Linked DNA regions of Schizosaccharomyces pombe. The protein of the gene in region 1 interacts with the protein of each later gene in a biochemical or structural test. Each region holds a gene or a part of one and is shown in the gene's direction. Other genes may lie near its edges. The genes, in order: res1, rep2 and cdc10.

Region 1 (7,470 bases):
AGTTCGTTTTTAAACAGAATTTCTATTACCAAAATTGATGATGTGGATTCTTTAAGTGATAATACCCTATATGGAATTGGTCGAAGTATAAATAGCCTGGCACGTTTAGGGATTCAATCAGTGATTGTTCCCACTTCCAATCCAATTGGCATGACATCTCCTTTTAAATATTTGGAGAATGGTACGGTCGTAGCGAAAAAACGTAAACTTTCAATCTTTGAGGAGCTACAGCAACAGCAAAATAGAGTCATTCGAGTTTCGGAAATTTTTTCGAAAGCGGGAGTGTTAACCCGTCCTAGCTACTCCTCTGTATGTCAATTGGGCCCTGAAGGCCCTAGTGTTGAGAATGTGCAAGGTATTTTTCAAGCGCTGTCTTCACTTTACACGGTCATAGTGCCAAGCTCGATTTTAATGCCCAACGTCATTGAGGTTCCAATTGATGGTAATGAGGTTCTTGCTGGTTTAACTTACTCGTTACACAAGCCAAACTTTGGGTTTTGGGTAGACCGAATCGTCATTCTTGATAAAAATGGTGGCATGCCATGTTCTAAACGACAAACTGGTTCTAGTCATGTTCTCATCAATCTGGCTCAAGAGTTTGACGAGTTAGCGAAAACACTTCCACCTTATCATAGAAAAAATTTGATTTTGGTAAGACGCTGTTTGAAAATGTTACCGGATGATGCCTCTGCTCTAATCACTACGCCTGAGGATGCTATGCTTACAAATCCTGTCTTAGACAAAAATCCGTTAATTCACAATGTTTTGACGGATCGCTCTATTATTTCATGTTCCTTGCCGCGCGATCGATCTCCTATTACGAAAACAACTGTTTTGCGTAGCGGTGTACCGGTATATACATTCCTAGGTCCGAAATGTCTAACTGATGGCTCCGTTTCGTGGGAAAGGCTTTGGGTTTTAATTAATGACTCCTTTAAGCGAACGCTTGATATGGACGCATATTTAGATAGGTTGAAGAATTCGCTAGCTGCAGTCATTATTGCAGGGGACTATTTAGGGACAGCCATTGTAACTTATGAACAACCAGATGGAACAACGAATGAAAAGGTCCCTTATCTTGATAAGCTTGCCGTCTCACAAGGAGCCCAGGGTTCAGCAGCAATATCTGATGTTATGTTTAATGTTATGACTGATTTATTTCCCAAAGAGTTGATATGGCGCTCTCGCCTGACTAATCCAGTCAATAAATGGTACTTTGAAAGAAGTGTAGGCTCCTTAAAGTCAAGCAAAACACCTTGGAAACTTTTCTGGACTGGAGACTCACATGTCAGAAATTTGGATCGAGTGAACCAGTATATGAGCGTTATTGATAAAATTCAGCCAACATGGTTGAATTGAGTGGAAGTTAACGATTGCACTTTATCAGAGACAAGATTATTTCGCTTCTTCAAAAGCACTTGTCAAACTTTTTAATAAAAGGAAAAAAGTCCATTTTGATAGGACATTAATTCTCTTTTGCACATTAGATTATAGATTGAGTAGTTTGCCTACAAACTTGCATTTTTCTTTAGTTATGATTTTTGTTTATTCCCCCACATAACCCCCATGTAGAGCTTAGAAAAGGTGATACTAGCTTTTTTCTTTTGTGAGTATCAACGTTTATCAACAAAACTAGTAGTAAACATGTCTTATAAACTTGAGTTGTTGCGTCGTGCCTTAGAACATAATGTTTTGAAGTTTGGAACTTTCACCTTAAAATCAGGCAGAAAATCTCCATACTTCTTCAATTCTGGTAATTTCACTCATGGTGCCGATTTATGCGCTCTTGCAGAAGCCTATGCCGAGACTATTATCGCTATGAACGTTGATTTTGATGTCATATTTGGTCCTGCTTATAAGGGTATCTCTTTGGCTGCTATAACGGCCGTCAAACTTTATGAAAAAACTGGAAAGAGCTATGGATTTGCCTATAACCGCAAAGAGGCCAAGTCCCATGGTGAAGGAGGTAACCTTGTAGGCGCCGAAATGGAAGGTAAAAAGGTTTTACTTTTGGATGATGTTATTACCGCTGGAACTGCCATTCGTGAAGCAATTTCCTTCTTAGAACCTAAGCACGTAAAATTGGCTGGTATCGTCCTTTTGCTTGACCGCCAAGAGCGACTGGACCCCGAAGTAAACGAAAGTACCATTGGTAGATTGAAGAAGGAGCTTAACTTACCCGTTTCCTCCATCCTTACTTTGGACGACATTGTTGACTTTACCAAATCAGACTTAACTGCAGCTGAATCAAAGGCAATGGATGCTTACAGACAGCAGTACCAAGCCAAATGAGCTTATGGTAATGTTTCTTTTAAAAATTTGGAAGGAGGAAAGAGAATAATTGGATAAGTATCTTTTTTGGTTTTTAGCTTTGCTTTTTTAAAGAGAGTGAAGTTAGTTGGTATTTACATATGTTATAGAATTTTTTTATCTGTATATTTGTGGTGATAGATACAACTCATATTAGAAGGAATTTTCTATAAAGCGATTGCATTTAGCGGTATTCAAAAATTTCTCTATAATAGACGAAGGAAATTGGTTTACTTGTTAAGCTTTTGTTTTGCACATATCCATCTATCTTTTGATTAGTTCCGTGAATCTGTTTTTTTTGTGTTTGTTTCTTCTTTTGTGTTATTCGAATCTTTCCAAGATGACAGTTAGGAATGAAGCTACCAAAATATTGAGTTGAGGGATAATTAATGTTTCACAAAATGGTATTTGTGTATTATTTTTGTAAAAATTTGTAGGATTTGGTTTTTAGTGATGATTATTTACGTTCGAAAGACGCATATAATGGGCAATTATAAAAAATTTAGGATTTTATTTTTCAATTCTGCGACGGGTATTTATGCTCTGTGTTTGAAATACCAAATATTAAATAATGGTAAAACCTTTAAACAGAAGCCTGGTGATTAACTTTTTATTATGACAAGAAAATGTTAAGAAATTTTGGAATGTTTTTATTCTCATATTCAATGTGAATTTGAATAAGTAGTCACTGCAGTCTATAAATAAAAATGGTTTATTAGAAAAACTCGAGTTGAACAATGAAATTCTTTATCATTTATGTAATACAATTGGTTTAACATAGTGGAATCGAATGGTACAATAATTGAGTTACTAATATGTAACCTTCAAGTATTTATCGTTTACCACTAACTCACCATAAGAGAGGGTGAAAGATTTAGTTCTGTTTGTGTGAGATCTTAAAAAAGCAAGCAAATTTCCTTTTTATCAAAAAAAGGATCCGCATTTCCTGAAGCACTTTACTGTGATTTTAGGGATTTTTTTGGTGAGTAAGAAGCAGTGTTTTTCGATTTTTCTGAGATCTCGCTGTTGAAAAAATCCGGACTAAATCGGCTCCGTAGTCGATAAACCCAAATCTACAGCTTTTTGATTTAAATTATACAAATCGTGATCTGGAAAGTTTCGAAAGGTTTCTGTCCTTACATATTAAAGTTCTTGGTAGTTGAGTATCTTACATCAGCTGGTAAGATACGTGGATTTTTAGGGATAGCAGAGGTCTTTAAAAACATCTGTTTTTAACTCAAAACATAGAGTTAAATACTTTTTAATTGAAAAAATCTTTGAGGCAAACGCCGCTGAGAGAATATATCCTTTCTTTAGTGCATGCAGTTAGTATCATATGTATTTCCGACTTTATCTGCTATAAATACTCGGTTTTCAAAAACTATCGATATTTTGTAGAGGAAATTTCAATTTGCTTCTTCTTTCTCATTTGCTTCGTTTTTTTTTTTATATGATATTAATAGCTGGCGCTGTGGAGTTGAGACATTAAATTATTACAAACATTTAGAGAGACGAAACGTTGTTATTGCATCAAGTTTTGAAGCTCTTCCTTCCTTCCTTTTTTTTAAATTGCTTGCCAATAGTGCCGTTATGTATAACGACCAAATACATAAAATCACCTATTCAGGAGTGGAAGTATTTGAGTATACGATCAATGGCTTTCCTTTAATGAAACGTTGTCATGATAACTGGCTTAATGCCACGCAAATCCTTAAAATTGCAGAGCTCGATAAACCCAGGAGGACAAGGATTCTGGAGAAATTCGCTCAAAAGGGACTTCATGAAAAAATTCAAGGTGGTTGTGGAAAATATCAAGGTTTGTGTTAACTTCTTACTATATCAATAGGTTTAAAACTACTTAAATAACATAAAATTTTTGTCTCTGTTGTTTTTATTTATCAATTTATACTTTTTTGGATGCCTGTTACTAACTATTCATTCAGGAACTTGGGTACCCTCTGAAAGAGCTGTTGAACTTGCTCATGAATATAATGTTTTTGATTTAATACAACCTCTGATTGAATACTCTGGCTCTGCGTTCATGCCAATGTCTACGTTCACTCCTCAGAGCAATCGTAAGCCTACAGAAGCATATCGACGAAACAGTCCAGTAAAAAAGTCATTTTCCCGGCCTTCGCATTCTTTACTCTACCCTTACACATCTTCCAATAATATGACATCTACTTCTAGAATGTCAGGAATCCATGATGCTTTGTCTCTTCAATCTGATTTCACGCGCTCTCCCGATATGCCTTCTGATTCCTTTACGGGATCTTTGCACGATATCAAAGCTTCTCCGTTTTCTTCAAACAATTATGCGCAGTCTCTCTTGGATTACTTTTTATTACCAAATACTACACAACCTCCTGATTTCGTATATGATCGGCCATCAGATTGGGATGTTAATGCTGGCATTGATGAGGATGGTCATACAGCACTTCATTGGGCTGCTGCAATGGGAAATTTGGAAATGATGCATGCACTATTGCAAGCAGGCGCCAACGTAGTTGCTGTCAATTACCTTCAACAAACATCTTTGATGCGCTGTGTAATGTTTACCATGAACTATGATTTACAGACTTTTGAGGTAGTTTCGGAGTTGCTTCAATCTGCTATCTGCATGAACGACTCTTTTGGCCAAACCGTCTTTCACCACATCGCATTATTAGCTTCTTCTAAATCAAAGATGGAAGCCGCTCGTTATTATATGGATATCTTATTGCAAAATTTAACTGCAACACAATCCGTTGATGTCGCTGCCCAAATTATAAACCTTCAGGATGATCATGGGGATACCGCTCTTTTGATCTGCGCTAGAAATGGTGCAAAGAAATGCGCGAGATTATTATTATCCTTTTATGCATCATCCTCCATACCAAATAATCAGGGCCAATACCCAACAGATTTTTTGTCTTCGAAAGACATGTCTTTTCCCGAAAATGATGATTCCCCCTTAAATTCCAAAATCGAGGATAATTTGATAGATAACTTAAAATATCCGCAATCACTTGATGACCACTTATCGTCCAAAAAACCTATTTCTTACTTTTCTAATAAACTTACTCACCAAACCCTTCCCAATGTCTTCACTCAGCTGAGCGAACTTTCAAAATGCCATGAAGCATCTCTTGCTGAAAAACAACTAACCTATAATTTGGCAATGGAGGCGTTGGAGCAAACAGTTCGGGAAACTGAAACTTGCCAAAGATTATGGAATGAACGTACCAATAATGACGAGAACTACTTGGTAAATCAGCGGGAGGATTTGATTCACCAGTGTAAAAAATTTCTGCATACATTGAAAACTGCTAGATATTACCTTGAAACAGTTCAGCTTCATCAATTAAAAAAATACGTAACTTACTTTTCTCAAATATGGAGTACTGATGAGTTAGCTGATATCTCGGAGACCAAAAACCTTGTTGGTCATGATACTAAAACGAACCGTTCGTCTTTAAGCTCAAAACACGAAGTTGATCTTTTTACAGCTGAAAACGAAGCTGCTCGTGAAAAGCTCGTTGAGCAATTATGCTCATTGCAAGCGCAACGGAAACAGAAAATTAACGAAATTTTGAACTTGCTTTCTATGGGAATGTATAATACGATTAATACAGATCAAAGTGGATCTTAATTTTTTTGGTTTTAAATTATTATTCAAAATAATTTTTTCTTTCGTTATCTTATTTTTTGCATTCTTTATGTTTTTTATATAAATACCAACTTGAACTTATAGATATTTAACAATCTTTTTATACAGTCGTTGGCTATCTAATGATTAGTTTTAAATTTAAATTTAAATGTATCTTCCCATCTTATTATTTGCTAATATACATAATTTTTCTGATGGTCAATCTAAAATATTAAATATACTAATGTGCTTTTTGAAATGCCATGGGAATGTTAAATCTACAATTCGACGTCAATTCCTGCGTTTGAAAAGTTGTATTTCGCCTTTTCAATCCATTTAGTTCGCTCAGATTCTGAAGCTTCCTCCTTGGCAAGTTCAAAACACAACATTCCGGAATACTCATGCAATGCAGGATTCTGATTGTAGGGTGGTAACAGCAAATACTCATCAAGCAACTTCATAGCTTTATTGTATTCTTGGCGCTGAATAAGTAGCATGATATATGCTGGAAAAAAATGTTCTGCCTGTAAATGTTAGTATAGAATTGCGACATATGATTGATTTCAAATAAGAAGGGACAAAAAATTCAATACACGAAAAGATGAAAGTATAGACGTTTTGTACCAGTATACACTTACATTACGATTCGGATAAGAGTTGTTAATGGATGGACGCGCAGGATATCGAGCTATTAGTCGCTCCATATACTCTGATGAAGCTTCTGGATTAACTTTGTTCAAAATTTCAAGTCCAATGTTCCATAATTTGGAAATGTCAACACTCTTAGATCTCAACAGTAATGAAAAAGCCCTAGATGCCCTTGGGTAATCTTTGCGCAATAAGCAAAGGTGCATCAACGAACAAAGTGCATCAATATGTCTTGTTTTATACCTTCTTGATGGTAAAGGAATTGGAGGTATAACAGAAGATTCCGGGTTGGGAGCGACACTTCGCAAAGTTGAACGTTTTTCTTTAACGGTACAAGGAGAGAACATGATTATAACAGAATCAAGCTATAAGTATTACTTATTTAAACAAAGCATAGTTGATCTAACTATAACCTTTTAATCTAGCATTATTTTGCTAATTGCAAGGGTATGGTTTTTGGCATCTTAAAGCAGTTAGCACTTGAGCACGACAGTTGCCTCTCTGTTCAACAACGATCAACCTTAGCTATTGATTAACTTTAGATTTTAATTACTCATTCTTTTTACTTTCATCTATTTACTCAGCATAAAATTTACAGCCAAAAACTACAGGTGTTGTTATGCACGGCTACATAATTAACTGCTTCAATTGTCAACTGAAAGTACATTAAGCAAAAGCTTTGAAATATATTAAATTTCTTTCCTAATGGACAACATCCTCCAACAAAAGTAATTTATGTGAAGAAACAAAAAGGGATGTAGGTAGAAAGTCTTGCAAGTCCACCCATATTATCCAAACCCAAATAACCAACCAAATATTAAAGTTTTATATAAAAAAAGAACCCCAAGTCCAAAACCATTATTCTACCTTCTTTGAGTTTTACC
Region 2 (6,079 bases), 490 kb from region 1:
CGGATGTCCTCAAAAAGCATCTTTCTTCCCCTAATTTTGAAAGGTTAGAAAAAAATAGTATAAATCGAGTAATAACATACGAAAATGACTCTTCCAGAGGCATAAAGGGAATACAAACCAAGACCAGCCATAACAGCGTAGTAAGGATAAACAAGAGCAAAACTACCTGGTCTCTAAATATTAAACAATTAGGTTCTTTTTTCTCTTCATAATTAAAAACAAGTTTCGTTTAAAACTTACCTGCAAGTAAGTTGGTTTGTGGATGCTTTGGAGAAAGCGTTGTTGTTGAACAATAGTATTCTTCATTTTTTTCTTTTTTAATTAATAATTGTTTTAATAATTATAAAACGAACCAATAATCAAGTTAACAAGTTAAACTGTTAAAAAAATGAGGGTTAACGATAAAATGTAGGTAGGTGCGGAAAGGATTGATGGTTCCAATTAGTACATCTTGGTGCCAGAACACAGAGTCAACCTCATAAACTCACATATTTAAGTATATTAATAAGACGGTTAAGTGAAAGATATTCGTATTATTAAAAAAATGCTCCTTTATCGTTTTTGGTATGTATCATTTTAAATTAATCTTACTGAACGAGATTAACGCTAATAATATAAATTAATTGTTGTCAAATAATTTAAGGACGGAATCATTGTCAGATTGATTCTTCTTCAAAAACTAAAGCTATCTCCTTATAAGCTATTGGGGAATCTCTTTCAAACATGGTATAAATGCGTCCATGGCATACTCGGAGCAATAATAGTATAGCGATCAAAGTTAATAATGAAGATGCATTTGCTTGTACTTATATAAATTCTTATGGTTGTTGAGATAAGGGAACAATTTTATACTGAGTTACATATGTTCTATCCTTCATCAGTATTCTCTACAAACGCGAAAATTCCTTGTCCATTTAAGCAATTCGTATTACAAAGCTCTATGTTCATATTATACGAAGGACGTTGAAAGTTTTTAATTGATTCTGACAATGACTTACAGATAGAATATGATGGTTTGAGTTATTGAAAATGCTAAATCGTCTTTTCAAGTAATTGATGAACTAAAACAGTTTCTTATACATTATATTTCAGAAAGTACTTTAAAGATACTCTGCTTTCTTCCTTGTTTTTTTTTTTTTTTCTTTTTTTTTTTTTTTGGAATACTAATACCGAGAAAACTTTCGTCAAATTTTATGGGCCTAATAATAATCTTATGAAATTAAGGTGCACTTAACCGAGCTATACTTTAAAGATTACAATTATCACAACTGAACACAACATTATATTGTTGGGGTAAACCTTTAAATTTCATGCATTTGAAGAAAATTGATTGCATTAGCTTAAAATATAGCTCACTTAGTGACTGGATGATCATCATAATATTATGTCGAGTTTTGTTTATTAGTCTTCCACTGTGAGCTGTTCAAAACTAAGATTATTTAACGTATTTTCATTGGCATAGTGTTGGAGGAAGTTAAAAATAATAAGCAAAGTAACCTCTGGAAGGATAAAACTGTCTATAAAAATAGCAATTACGCTACAAAAGTTTATAGCTTTTACGGCTTTAATGCTATTCTCATTTACAGGTACTAAGACTCCTTTGGATGCTTAGTTACAGTGATAGGGCATAATTAGAATCTTCAATAAAATAGGGGTTTGAAAAACTAAACTACTTGTGAGAAAGAATTAAGCCTTACGTCTCTTTGAGTGAATTCCCTTTTCTGCTTTGTTAATCCATAATCTGCTGTATTTGACTTCAAAATACAACTTTAATTGATTTACTTTTAAAAAGTTGATTGATTGGTAAATTGAAAGTTTTTGCTGGACTTCTGCTTATTTTCACAACAATTATATTATAAAGGGTTAAGTGGTGTGCAATTGGTTTTTAAGAGTTTGAAGCAAGCTCCATGTTAATTCTAATTAAAATAAAATAGAGTGATTAATTTTAAATGGAACGGAGCAATGCTAAGCTAAATATTGAAGATTGGGTCTCGTTAAGAAAGGTTTGTGGTGCAATTTGTTTACAAGGCTTTAATGTGATAAACGGTTGACGAATGAATGAAACCAAATGGAAAACAACTTCCAAAATATTTAATAAATTTTTTAAAATTTGTTTCGCTACGATAGTCAATGAATTGACCCAATGCAGGAGAAATTTGTTGTTTCAGTAGCATTTCTGGATTTCGAGAAACAGATACATTTTAATTAATTTAATGTGTCGCCTTATTTTTTTAAACATGTAAATGACTTTTTTTCTTATGCATATTCTTTTTTTGAGAAGTTATCAATGTTTTAATTAAGTATGGTTGCTATGAGGCATGTAAACAAATGGCAACCAATTCATGTGGTAGGTGAGCAACTTGGTAATAGAAAAAAAAGTACGGTGCAAGGATATGGTAACAGTTGAGTAGCTTAAAATGTAAAAAACAACTTAAGTAACTTTTGTTTTGTTTTAATCCGTAGGATTTTATTCTCTCGGTTACTTAGCAGCCATCACATTAGTAACATACTTGTTACCTTTACCCACTGTACTTCTTATTTTCTCACCTTCTTTTCCTTGGTTCCATTTCTCGACCACTATCTCTTTCCCATTTTATCGCAAACTTATTTTTCAATACTACTTTGTGAACTACATTAAGCCTTTTGCTTTCGTTCTTCTTAGTAGTGCTTCTCTCTCTTCGGACATTGATCACTCGTTTTTTGGAAGTTCGATTTTGCGGGAAAGTTGAGATACACCATTTAATAAAGAGACTATTTGATTAATATTATAGTCAATTTTCGATCAATTCTGTGTTTTTTGTCCATTTCGCACCCACTTTTCCGTTGGTTTGTGAGACTATAGCTTTAAAAGTGAACATCTGTGTAACAGGAGTGATTGAAACTATCGTTTTTGGTTTTGATTATTTGTTTTTCTTTCCTTTCAATTTTGTTTTTTTGTGTTTAATTCGCACTTTTTGGAAGCTTCTGCTAGCTGTGTTCATCGCCCTTATCAGAAGCCTTAATCTTTTCGTTTGTTGGATTTAATTATTTATTTTGCTCGAACAATAGTAATCGTGGTATCCTGTCTCCTCTCTTTGACTAAAATCCAAAGCCATGCATTTTGCAGACATTCCTCTTAGCAAGCCATGTCTGAACAACCCCCCAACATATCCATGGTCATCCCCAATTTTATCCAGTATTGCTAATCCTTCACTATGTGATATTGTATCTTCTCCATCATCTGTTTCTTCCTTTGCTTCCTCGGATGATTTTGCATTCATGAACGCATATTGTCTGCCCATACAACAAAACCACCAATTTGGTAGTCCAGTTGCTGCTTCGCCAAACCAACAACCGCTCGTAGAAAGCCAAAATCGCCGGAATGTCACTTATGCTTCTTTAGTCATAGGAAAACTTGGAATTGCTCAACTCATTCGTCAACAAACTGATCCTCCTCAAATTATCCATAGAAAGCAAGACAAGGGCTTAATGGCAAGGGTCTTGTCTAGATCCAAGAAGCAAGAGGAGAGAGAGAATCACTCTTCTGATGCTCGTGATGCTATTAAATCTGCCCTTCGAAGGAGAATGCGCCGTCGTGAAGGCCGTGTTCAAAAGGCTTTAAGGCCCACCCCTAACTTAATTTGCTCAAAATGCAATACCACGTTCAACCATTCAACGGCTCTTATGATGCATGAAGCAACCTGCTTGAATCAAGTTCCCTTTAAGCTTTCGGACTTTTTTGTTGAGGACGTGATAGATGACTGGCTCTTTTAATATTTCCGTTCATACAAAGAAGCAGCTTTCGTATCTAGTAGCATTACGGATATGTAATAATTATCGCTTATTAATGACGCTGGTTATATAAAGCGTATTAAAATTTTGCTCAGTCGTTTTACTCTTGAGAGCTTCATCACTTCTTTTAGAGAAGTTATTTTGAGATCATAGTATAATTTACTACATCAATTAGGTAATCAAGAAATATAGTTTGAAATGATAGAAGACTGCTCTTATAACCTTGTTTTAGGAAACGATCATCTATGCACTTTTTTCTATGTTTTGCTATCAAATATCACTATTACAGACACTATCTTTTTATTTTCGCGAAAGCTATAATGAAATATATTACAATACAGCTCACACTTCATCTAGATTGAGCAAACATACTGTAAAGAGGAAACACCAGTTCTAAAGTTACAACTGACTTTAGTTTAAGGCATAGGATAGGCATTTTATTCACAGATTTGCAATTGATTTAATAAGAGGAAAGTAAAATAGGACTATGGAACAAGGCTATCGTCTTAAAAAAACCTAAGAAGGGAAATCATGTAAAAGATAAACTATTTTGACACGAGAGGAGGGAAGCAATGCATGCTAATGTTTTGAAACATGGAATGAAAAAATGACTTATAAAAACAATATTTTAGGGGCTCTTTTAGTAGTTTCATGCAGGGATACGTTCTACACGGATATCTCGATATTCGTGTACAGACGGGTGCTTGGATAATAATGCAACTGCGTCCGAATCCCAGCCACTTCTCCAAAGATGAGCGCCAACAGGTTCAAGATCATAGATTGAGCAAAACTCAGAGAGGTCAAATCGTTCGCGGACAAGTGCATTAGAAGGAATACTAATACTAGATGACTTTTGCCGCAAAACAAGGGTTAAGATACGGTGTTTATCTTCTCCACGGTGAACAATAGGAGGCCGATATTGAAAGAAAGCTTTAGAAGTATCAATGGGCACACGTTTGGATGCTTCAATGGGGATATTCGTTAAAAGCCAGTTGCAATGAGTCTCAAACCGGTTTGTTTCGTAATTCGGGACATCCAAATCTAGTGTTATAACTGAATAATGATTCTTTTTACAATTAAAGGGTAAAACTGATAGCCACGGGGTCTTTACAGTAACCGTACTTGGCAAGATAGTGCCAGGAGTGATAGAATCATTATTTTCGGGGTTAAATCCTAACTGTACGTCGACAGATGGCGAAAATGAGCCAATCCCAGAGTCCTTTATTACTTTCATCTGCTCCAATCTTTGTAAAAGAAGCAATTTTTGATAATCTTCCCACTGTTGCTTAAGCATGTAAAGGAACACCGGATTCGTGTAGTCGATCTCCTTTTTATGAAATTTAGAGCGTACTTCCGGTAAATTAATTTGTGATAAAACCTGTAACCGTTCTATTTCTGGGGAAGTTTCACTTGGGTTTTCTAATAATTTAGCCTGAAGCTTTTTGTGAACTTTCTCCGAGTATTCCTGTATTAACTTTACAGAAGAGCGATATGCATTTTCCTGAGCAGCACTGTAAATACTGCGAGCCCTACAGACATTCGAAATCGTAGGAATTCTAGGCCATACGCGTTTCATCCTTGCAATGGTAAAAGCTAAGTAATTAACGGTATGGATGTGTATAGGAATAGAATAACACAAGAGGGTATAGCGCAGTGTAAGGAATGCTAATGCACAGCTTTTTCGATATTTACGGTTATACAAAATAAAATTAGAAATGGAAACTGTGGATGTTAAACATGTTAATTGGAAAAGGTCAATCATACCGAGTCCCTTCAAGGTTATGACCAAAGTTTTAGTGGTAGGTTTAAGCAACAATTCTACTCCCGTAAGCTGCTTCTAATGGGAACTAGACTGTAGCAATAGCGTTCATGTTTAACCAAAAGCTACAAGTTATATGAAACGGTCATTTGCAAAAGTCAGTAAGTTTCAATGACTATAATGAAAATATATTGACTCGACGACACATAGTGAATCATGAGTCAGAGTCCGTATGAAGTAATATGTTCCTAATTTGACGGCTGCATTGAAAATTCAGCAATCGGAAGGAATGAATAAGAGAAAAATATTCAAAAGAAGTGAAATAGCTACGTGGGTTAATCAATAGTGTCTACGTCCAATTATTATCTGAGGTATACACATGCAACAATCACGGCATTTACATCTCAGTAAATTAAAATAAAGAAAAATAATATCATTAAATTAAGTCAAAAGGTTTAAAGGTGATATCCTATGAATTCGGGAAATTGCCAACTATATCTTAGATAGTCACATTTCTACCAAATTGACGTAGAGCTTAATTAAATATTC
Region 3 (7,285 bases), 1.5 Mb from region 1:
TGTAGAAATATCTTACTTTATGGATCCTGTAAGCATTCAGAAAATGGATGTGCTTTTCGACATGATGGTGTAAGTATAGGCGTATTCTCTTAACTTCAGAGAAGCTTCTTGCTTACGATTGTTTGTAGCCTTTCATCCCTTCTTCAGAGAATTTGGAGCAATACTCAGTGTATGATTTTTTTTAAGGCTTTGTACGTATAATTAACCTCGCTAGTAAGAAAAAACTGAATGCTGCGTCGGCCTCTTTTCAACCTGTTCGCGCTTTACCAGTAAAGGCTGCTGGCGCTGCAGTATTTGTTCCTAAATCACAAGAAAAATCTCTTTTTCTATCTAGAGAGCGTACCCCTGTTGCGCTTTCACCAGGTAGTCATGTATGTCTGGCTAACAGCTTATATTTTTCTTACTAATTTTACTGTAATTTTAGGCTATTAATCCTTACAATAATGCATCTATGTTGGTCAATGAGCCTTTTCATGATGACTCTGGGGTTTATTATACTCGTCAAAACCAGTTTAAACCCGTAAGTCTAAAGCCTTATTATTGTTGTTGACAACAACAGACATTGTACAATTTATATAATCCGCAACCTTCTCCCATGCCAACTTTACTTCCTTATGAAAGAACTGTAAACGGTCTATTTATTGATGATACGACTAGAGAAAGAATCGAGAGAAAGAGCGAGGCATCCCGTCAGACAATTTCAGGTACTTAATTTGTGTCTAGCTTCCTTTATACTAATATTTTAGCGCTTCCGTCTATTATATCTTCATATACTTCTTTGGCGCCACTGAATACAAAGCTTTATCGGTATAAAGAGCAAATTGGATTCTCTTCTTGGACGTACAAATGCACTTCTTCCATCGATGGGAATGCTTACGTTTTGAAACGACTCCAAGGTAACCTTCAGATTCATAAATTGCAATTGCTAATATATTTAAAAGACTGTTCAATTAATATTGATACGTCGACTGTCGACAAGCTTAAAAATGTTTTTCATCCAAATATCGTACCATTCCATTCTGCTTTTCATACTGATACATTTCATGATTCTTGTAAGTTTATTTTACTAAACCTTACTAATTAATCAAGCGTTACTATTAATTTATGATTTTTATCCGTGTACTACAACCCTTGGTGAGCTCTACCTAAACAATTCTAAAAATTCTGTCAAGTTGGAGGAAAATAGAAAAATTCCAGAACGAGAGTTATGGAATTATTTTTTCCAGCTTACTATCGCTTTGTCATATCTACATAAATCCGGGTTTGCTTGCAACAAGCTTACTCCGTCGAGAATCCTTGTGGATCAAACTGAAAGGTATTTTTTTTTGAACATTTTTTATGTTTTGATGGAATACATTTCTTTAATTCATTAATGACTTATACTAACGTGTAAAGGATTCGTATTAGTGGTTGCGCTGACTATGAATTGGTAGTGTCAAACAAGCCTCCATTAGAGGAACGAAAGAAGCAGGATTTTGTAGATCTTGGAGTTGTGATTGCGAATTTAGCTACTGGAAGAACTGATATGGACATGTCTTCAGCCGCACGAGCAATTTATAGTACATATTCGAGGGAATTTTATAAAGCGGTTTTATACTTTGTATCGGAAGTTCCTGAGGATAAAAACTTGGAGTTGTTTTTGCAAAATCACATAGAAAGTTTTTTCCCTATAATGAGTTCACCATACGTGGAATGCGAAAAAATGGAGAGAAAAATTTCGGACGCTTTCCAACACGGTCGATTTTTTAATATTTTGTGCAAGATTATGTTTATTATTGATAATAATAGAGCTTCTCGTGAATATCCTATCGCACGAGAAAAAGAAATTTCATTAATCTACTTATTACGAGATTATCTTTTCCATCAGATAGATGAAGATGAGTGTCCTGTGATAGATTTATATCAAGTGCTGAATCGCCTGGGAAAGGTAAGTTTTTTACATTTTTCTCATTATTGCATTTATTAATTCATTAGCTTGATGCCGGTATAAATCAAGCCATCGCATTAATTTCCCGAGATGAACTTGATTGTGTTTCAGTTTCTTATGGGGAGGTAAGTATTTGCTCAAAAAGCCATAGTGGGTGCTTAGTAAATTAGACTACTTTTCCACACTATATAGCCTGTTTGTTTGCAAAATTACTAACAATAACAAATGTAGCTAAAAGCTTGGTTGGACAACGTTTACGAAATGGAAATAAATTCTTAAAATAAAACATTTTTCTTTACAGAATATTTATTTGTTTTTTTGTATCTATTACCATGGTTGTTAATTTAAGTAAATAATAGTTTTCGCTATAATAATATTAGAAGGAAGCTAAGCTTAATGTGGTTTTGAATTACCTACTGCAACACACCGTATTGAAACAAAAACGATCAGGAATAGAAGCCTGACACTTATCAGATAAAATTCATTAATACGTTTTCCTGGTTTAATTATTAATTACGGAAACTCCCATGCTTGTTAAGGTACATACAGACGGTTAATCATAAACTTCTTAGAGGAGAGAGTTTAGCAGTTGTCCTCAAAAAATGGCAAACCCTTTCGTTCGAAATCAATCTTTTAAATCAGTATTTTTTAAAAATTTAGTCGGAATTACCCTATGGGTACCCGTATTAATGTTCGTTGAACAACATGTAGTCAGCGTCGGTACAATTGAAGGTAGATCTATGAAACCAGCCTTTAACCCTGAGACAAACATGCTGCAGAGAGATAGGGTACTACTTTGGAAATGGAATAAGGATTACAAAAGAGGAGATGTAGTTATACTACGGTAAGTTCTTGGATCGTTGCAGGGTCTTTCGGTACTGAGTTTCCCTTTTTATCGTTACTAATAAGCAACAAGCTCTCCAGAAAACCCAGAGGAACTATTGGTAAAAAGAGTTCTAGGAGTAGAATACGATATCATGAAAACGAGACCTCCTAAAAAGTTGTCATTAGTACCCGTTCCCGAGGGACATGTGTGGGTCGAAGGCGATGAACAATTTCATTCTATGTAGGTTTCCAACAATTGTTTTTTTACTTTTTCGTTTTCTTCTATAGAGATATTAACTAGTTTACAGTGATAGTAACAAATTTGGCCCAGTATCGACAGGACTCATCACTGCCAAAGTGATTGCAATTTTGTTTCCCTTCTCTCGTGCAGGGCGTATTGATCATGAAGGTTTCCGAAAGAATGCAGTGTTTTTAAGTGGAAAACGTTCTGTTAAGTAAGCTGCACCACAGTGAACCTGTTTCCTTGACAGTTTAGTTCCATGCTGGTTGGTGCTTATTTACATTTCTTTTAAGGAACACGTTATCCTTAAATTTAATTTATTTCGACGCGTCGCGTTCTATATATGACGTCATTAATATGTCTATCTATTTACCTATTTGAAAAAGATGGAAGTTGGAAGCTACTTTGTATTAGAAATACCAATAAAAAAATATAATTTTTTCATACTCAACATCAAAACTTTTATTTAGGGAAAATTAGAATTGACTGAAAAATCCGTCTCTTTTGCATATCCCGAAACAGTAAAGTCGTTGAGTATAGCAAAGTTGGAAATTTTTCAACAGGGTATTTGAAATGAGAAAGAATTCCATTTCTAAGTAGCCTTTAAATAAAACCCCCAGAAGAAACGAACATTGAAGTAGTCCTTTGTTTTCCTTAGGAAGCCTCATATATCGTTACTTCGAATACGGTCTAACGCCGTACCAAATGTATACAGCTGCGTGAACCTTCCCAGAGCGAATTTGTGTATAACACGAAATCCGAAAAAATTACTTCTATTTATTTGAAAAAGAAAGGAATTCACAATCTCTTAAACAAACCAAGTGGTGAGGAGCTCGAGTCTTCTTTCATGGTCAGTTCAGCACCCTTATTTTCGAGAAAAACGTGCTGCCCTTTATAAAAAATTCGATATTTTTTCGGCATTTTTTATTTTAATATACTATAATGGCTTCAGCCAATTTTATTCGCCAGTTTGAGCTGGGGAACGATTCTTTTTCATACCAAAAACGCCCAGAGGATGAGCCATCACAACCCCTTTCAAACAGAAATATAAACAAACTAAACGATTCATCTACTTTAAAAGACTCTAGTTCAAGGATTTTTATTAACTCCCAAGTTTTACGTGATGGCCGACCCGTAGAATTGTATGCTGTCGAATGTTCAGGCATGAAATATATGGAGCTTAGCTGTGGGGATAATGTTGCTCTTCGAAGATGTCCAGATTCTTACTTTAATATCTCTCAAATACTTCGACTTGCTGGTACTTCGTCATCTGAAAACGCCAAAGAATTGGATGATATTATCGAGAGTGGGGACTATGAGAATGTTGACTCCAAACACCCTCAAATAGATGGAGTATGGGTTCCATATGATCGAGCAATTTCTATAGCAAAGCGATATGGGGTTTATGAAATTTTACAACCATTAATTTCTTTTAATCTTGATTTATTCCCCAAATTTTCAAAGCAGCAACAAATCGAAAGTTCTTCAATCTCCAAAAATTTAAATACTTCTTCTTTTAATACGCGATCCCCTTTGAGGAATCATAATTTTTCAAACCCTAGCAAGTCTTCAAAGAATGGGGTGCACACTATAAACAATATGCAGAGTTCACCTTCACCTTCTTCCTCTTTCTTACTACCTTTAACTCAAATTGATAGCCAAAATGTTAAACGCTCTAACAATTACCTCTCCACCTCTCCACCTATCCTTGAACAGCGTTTAAAACGGCATAGAATTGATGTCAGTGATGAAGACTTACATCCCTCCTCACAGTTAAATGATAATGAGGCCTCTTCATTGTTTCCAGATACGCCAAGGTTGAACCATTCACTTTCTTTTGTATCCTTGGTTTCTAGTCTTCCTCCACTTGATCAGAATATTATGCAGGATTATCATACATCAAAAGACATTTTGACCTCTATCTTTTTAGATGTAAACTTTGCTGATTCCAGCGCCTTAGAAGCAAAGCTGTCGGACTCATTAGATTTGGATGTCCCCATTGACGAACTTGGACACGCCGCTCTGCACTGGGCAGCAGCCGTTGCCAAAATGCCTTTGTTACAAGCCTTAATACATAAAGGAGCTAATCCTTTACGTGGCAACCTCACAGGAGAAACGGCATTAATGAGATCGGTTTTGGTAACCAATCATCTCAATCAGAACTCTTTTGGTGATTTACTAGACTTGCTTTACGCATCTCTTCCCTGTACAGATCGAGCTGGACGGACCGTCGTTCATCACATTTGTCTTACTGCAGGTATAAAAGGCCGAGGTTCAGCATCGAGATATTACTTAGAAACCTTATTAAATTGGGCAAAGAAACATGCAAGTGGTAACAACGGATATATGCTGAAAGACTTCATAAACTATTTAAATCATCAAGATAAAAATGGGGATACAGCTTTAAATATCGCAGCAAGAATTGGAAATAAGAACATTGTTGAAGTTTTAATGCAAGCCGGAGCTTCCGCTTATATTCCTAATCGTGCAGGGTTAAGCGTAGCAAATTTTGGAATTTTTGTTGAAAACGCATTAAAACAACCCGAAGACTCAAAACAAACAAAAGTTTCCCTTATGAGTGAAAATCTGTCCAGCAAAGAAAAGACTGCTGTCCCTCCTCGTCAAAAGAGTAGAGACATTATCGCCTCTGTGACCGATGTAATATCTTCTCTGGATAAAGATTTTCAGGATGAAATGGCTGCAAAACAGTCTATGATTGACTCAGCCTACACCCAATTGCGTGAATCTACAAAAAAGCTGTCCGATCTTCGTGAACAACTACACGTGTCCGAGACGCAAAGAACTTTGTTTCTTGAATTAAGGCAACGTTGTAAAAATCTTATGACTTCGATCGAAGAACAGAAAAGTGAATTAAGTAATCTTTATGAATCTTTTGATCCCAATGGAATACACGATTCATTATCATTGGATGCTGACGCTCCTTTTACTGTCAATGAAAACAACAACAAAAATTTATCTATTGCTGAATTGAAGTTTCAAGTTGCTGCTTATGAGAGAAATGAAGCCAGATTAAACGAATTAGCGAACAAACTTTGGCAACGAAATTCCAACATAAAATCAAAGTGCCGTCGGGTTGTTTCCCTATGCACCGGTGTCGATGAATCTCGAGTGGATTCATTATTGGAAAGTTTGTTACAAGCCGTGGAAAGTGACGGTCAACAGGGAGAAGTAGATATGGGTCGAGTTGCTGGATTCTTACGTGTTGTTAAAGAACATCAAGCATAATATTGCTTTTTGTGGTTTACCACTAAAGTGTCCTGAAATAATTAACTACTTTAATTTTTTTCTTAATATAGAATCCTACCAAATGAATAAAACGTAATTTATTATATGTTAATAATCTTGGCTATTGGAAATTAGTTAAATTTTCATTAAGCTTTTCGAAATATGTTTTTTGCTCTATAGCTAAATTTCCCGATACGCCGCTAAGAACAGTCGAAATGAGGGTATAATTATTGGACAAAAACCTACTTTGTCTCCTTTTGTCATTAACTGTTTTACACAGGTTTTGTAACATGCTCACATAATCCTGAGCTAGTCTTGAAGCACTTCGTGCAACAGGCTCGGCTTCTACGACATTAACACTTAGCATCGAAAGGCTATAAAGTAGTTCAGCTACTCGCTGCGAAAGTGGATGAGGTCGCGAAGTGATTTCTTCTGGCTTCACAGATAAGTTAGTTTTACGGAGTGACTCACAGTGCATGTCCATGACAGCTTGAAAGCGAGGCCACAGAAAAAGAATCATGGAGTTATAGTGTGGCTCAATAACAGGCACTATATTAGTTTGCGCCTGTAAAGCTAATTTTTGAGTAAAACGAATGGACTTCAAAATACCTATGCAATCGATACTGCTTGATATCAATCCTGTAATGTATTTGCGTGAAAAATGTAAAGTTTTTTCAAAGATAGCGGCAAAAACGGTAGCCTGCTGATCTTTAGAGAGGTTAAAGTACTCCAGCAAAAAAGCATATTCAGAAGAGACGTGTTCCGTCAAGACTAATTCCCATGAGCAATAAACACGTTCAATATATTGTGGGGAAGATTCAATATGATGCATTGTAGATGCTGTCAACACAGAGTTCATATCAAAATCCTGAGGGCGCAAGTTTACTGAGAGCATTTGATTCCCGTAAGATTGTTGTGCTCCTTTGGAAAGGTTGAAGAGTCCTTTCCGATCCTCTTCAACGCGAATAGTTTCTCCCTTAAGGACATGAACTTTGTCCAAAAACCTAGAGTACTGTTCGAAGTGGTATAGATAAAACCAATTCATC

Evidence for each region.
Region 2: the proteins of res1 (region 1) and rep2 form a complex in vitro, tested with the Schizosaccharomyces pombe proteins (one study listed by BioGRID).
Region 3: the proteins of res1 (region 1) and cdc10 form a complex in vitro, tested with the Schizosaccharomyces pombe proteins (one study listed by BioGRID).

Annotation. Positions count from the first base shown.
Region 1 is NC_003423.3:1,229,435-1,236,904, forward strand, and holds res1 (MBF transcription factor complex subunit Res1), read left to right. Parts: upstream 1-3,151; 5' UTR 3,152-3,900; coding exon 3,901-4,126; intron 4,127-4,253; coding exon 4,254-5,941; 3' UTR 5,942-6,153; downstream 6,154-7,470. Other genes in the region: acetylglutamate synthase Arg6, read left to right, coding at 1-1,359; orotate phosphoribosyltransferase Ura5, read left to right, coding at 1,645-2,292; RNA polymerase I transcription factor subunit Rrn11, read right to left, coding at 6,217-6,462, 6,577-6,933; GTP-binding protein Nog1, read right to left, coding at 7,450-7,470. UniProt on the Schizosaccharomyces pombe protein: Acts as a positive regulator of the mitotic cell cycle and as a negative regulator of sexual differentiation. May be involved in the transcriptional regulation of the cdc22 and cdt1 genes. Is an integral component of the DSC1-like complex.
Region 2 is NC_003423.3:1,715,131-1,721,209, forward strand, and holds rep2 (transcriptional activator MBF subunit Rep2), read left to right. Parts: upstream 1-2,572; 5' UTR 2,573-3,093; coding exon 3,094-3,753; 3' UTR 3,754-4,192; downstream 4,193-6,079. Other genes in the region: cytochrome c oxidase subunit VII Cox7, read right to left, coding at 10-30, 81-173, 241-306; mrpl35 (mitochondrial ribosomal protein subunit L35), read right to left, coding at 4,421-5,347. UniProt on the Schizosaccharomyces pombe protein: Transcriptional activator which interacts with the mcb binding subunit complex formed by res2 and cdc10. Rep2 is required for the mitotic cell cycle start.
Region 3 is NC_003423.3:2,760,241-2,767,525, reverse strand, and holds cdc10 (DNA-binding transcription factor, MBF transcription factor complex subunit Cdc10), read left to right. Parts: upstream 1-3,725; 5' UTR 3,726-3,935; coding exon 3,936-6,239; 3' UTR 6,240-6,360; downstream 6,361-7,285. Other genes in the region: PAN complex subunit Ppk26, read left to right, coding at 1-69, 129-169, 215-371, 425-520, 560-704, 747-896, 942-1,052, 1,090-1,315 and 3 more; mmp2 (endopeptidase catalytic subunit), read left to right, coding at 2,530-2,771, 2,844-2,993, 3,061-3,211; GARP complex subunit Vps52, read right to left, coding at 6,361-7,285. UniProt on the Schizosaccharomyces pombe protein: Major component of the cell cycle transcription factor complex MBF (MCB binding factor, also known as DSC1), that controls G1-S phase specific gene expression. Involved in the control of rRNA production, via interaction with pol5.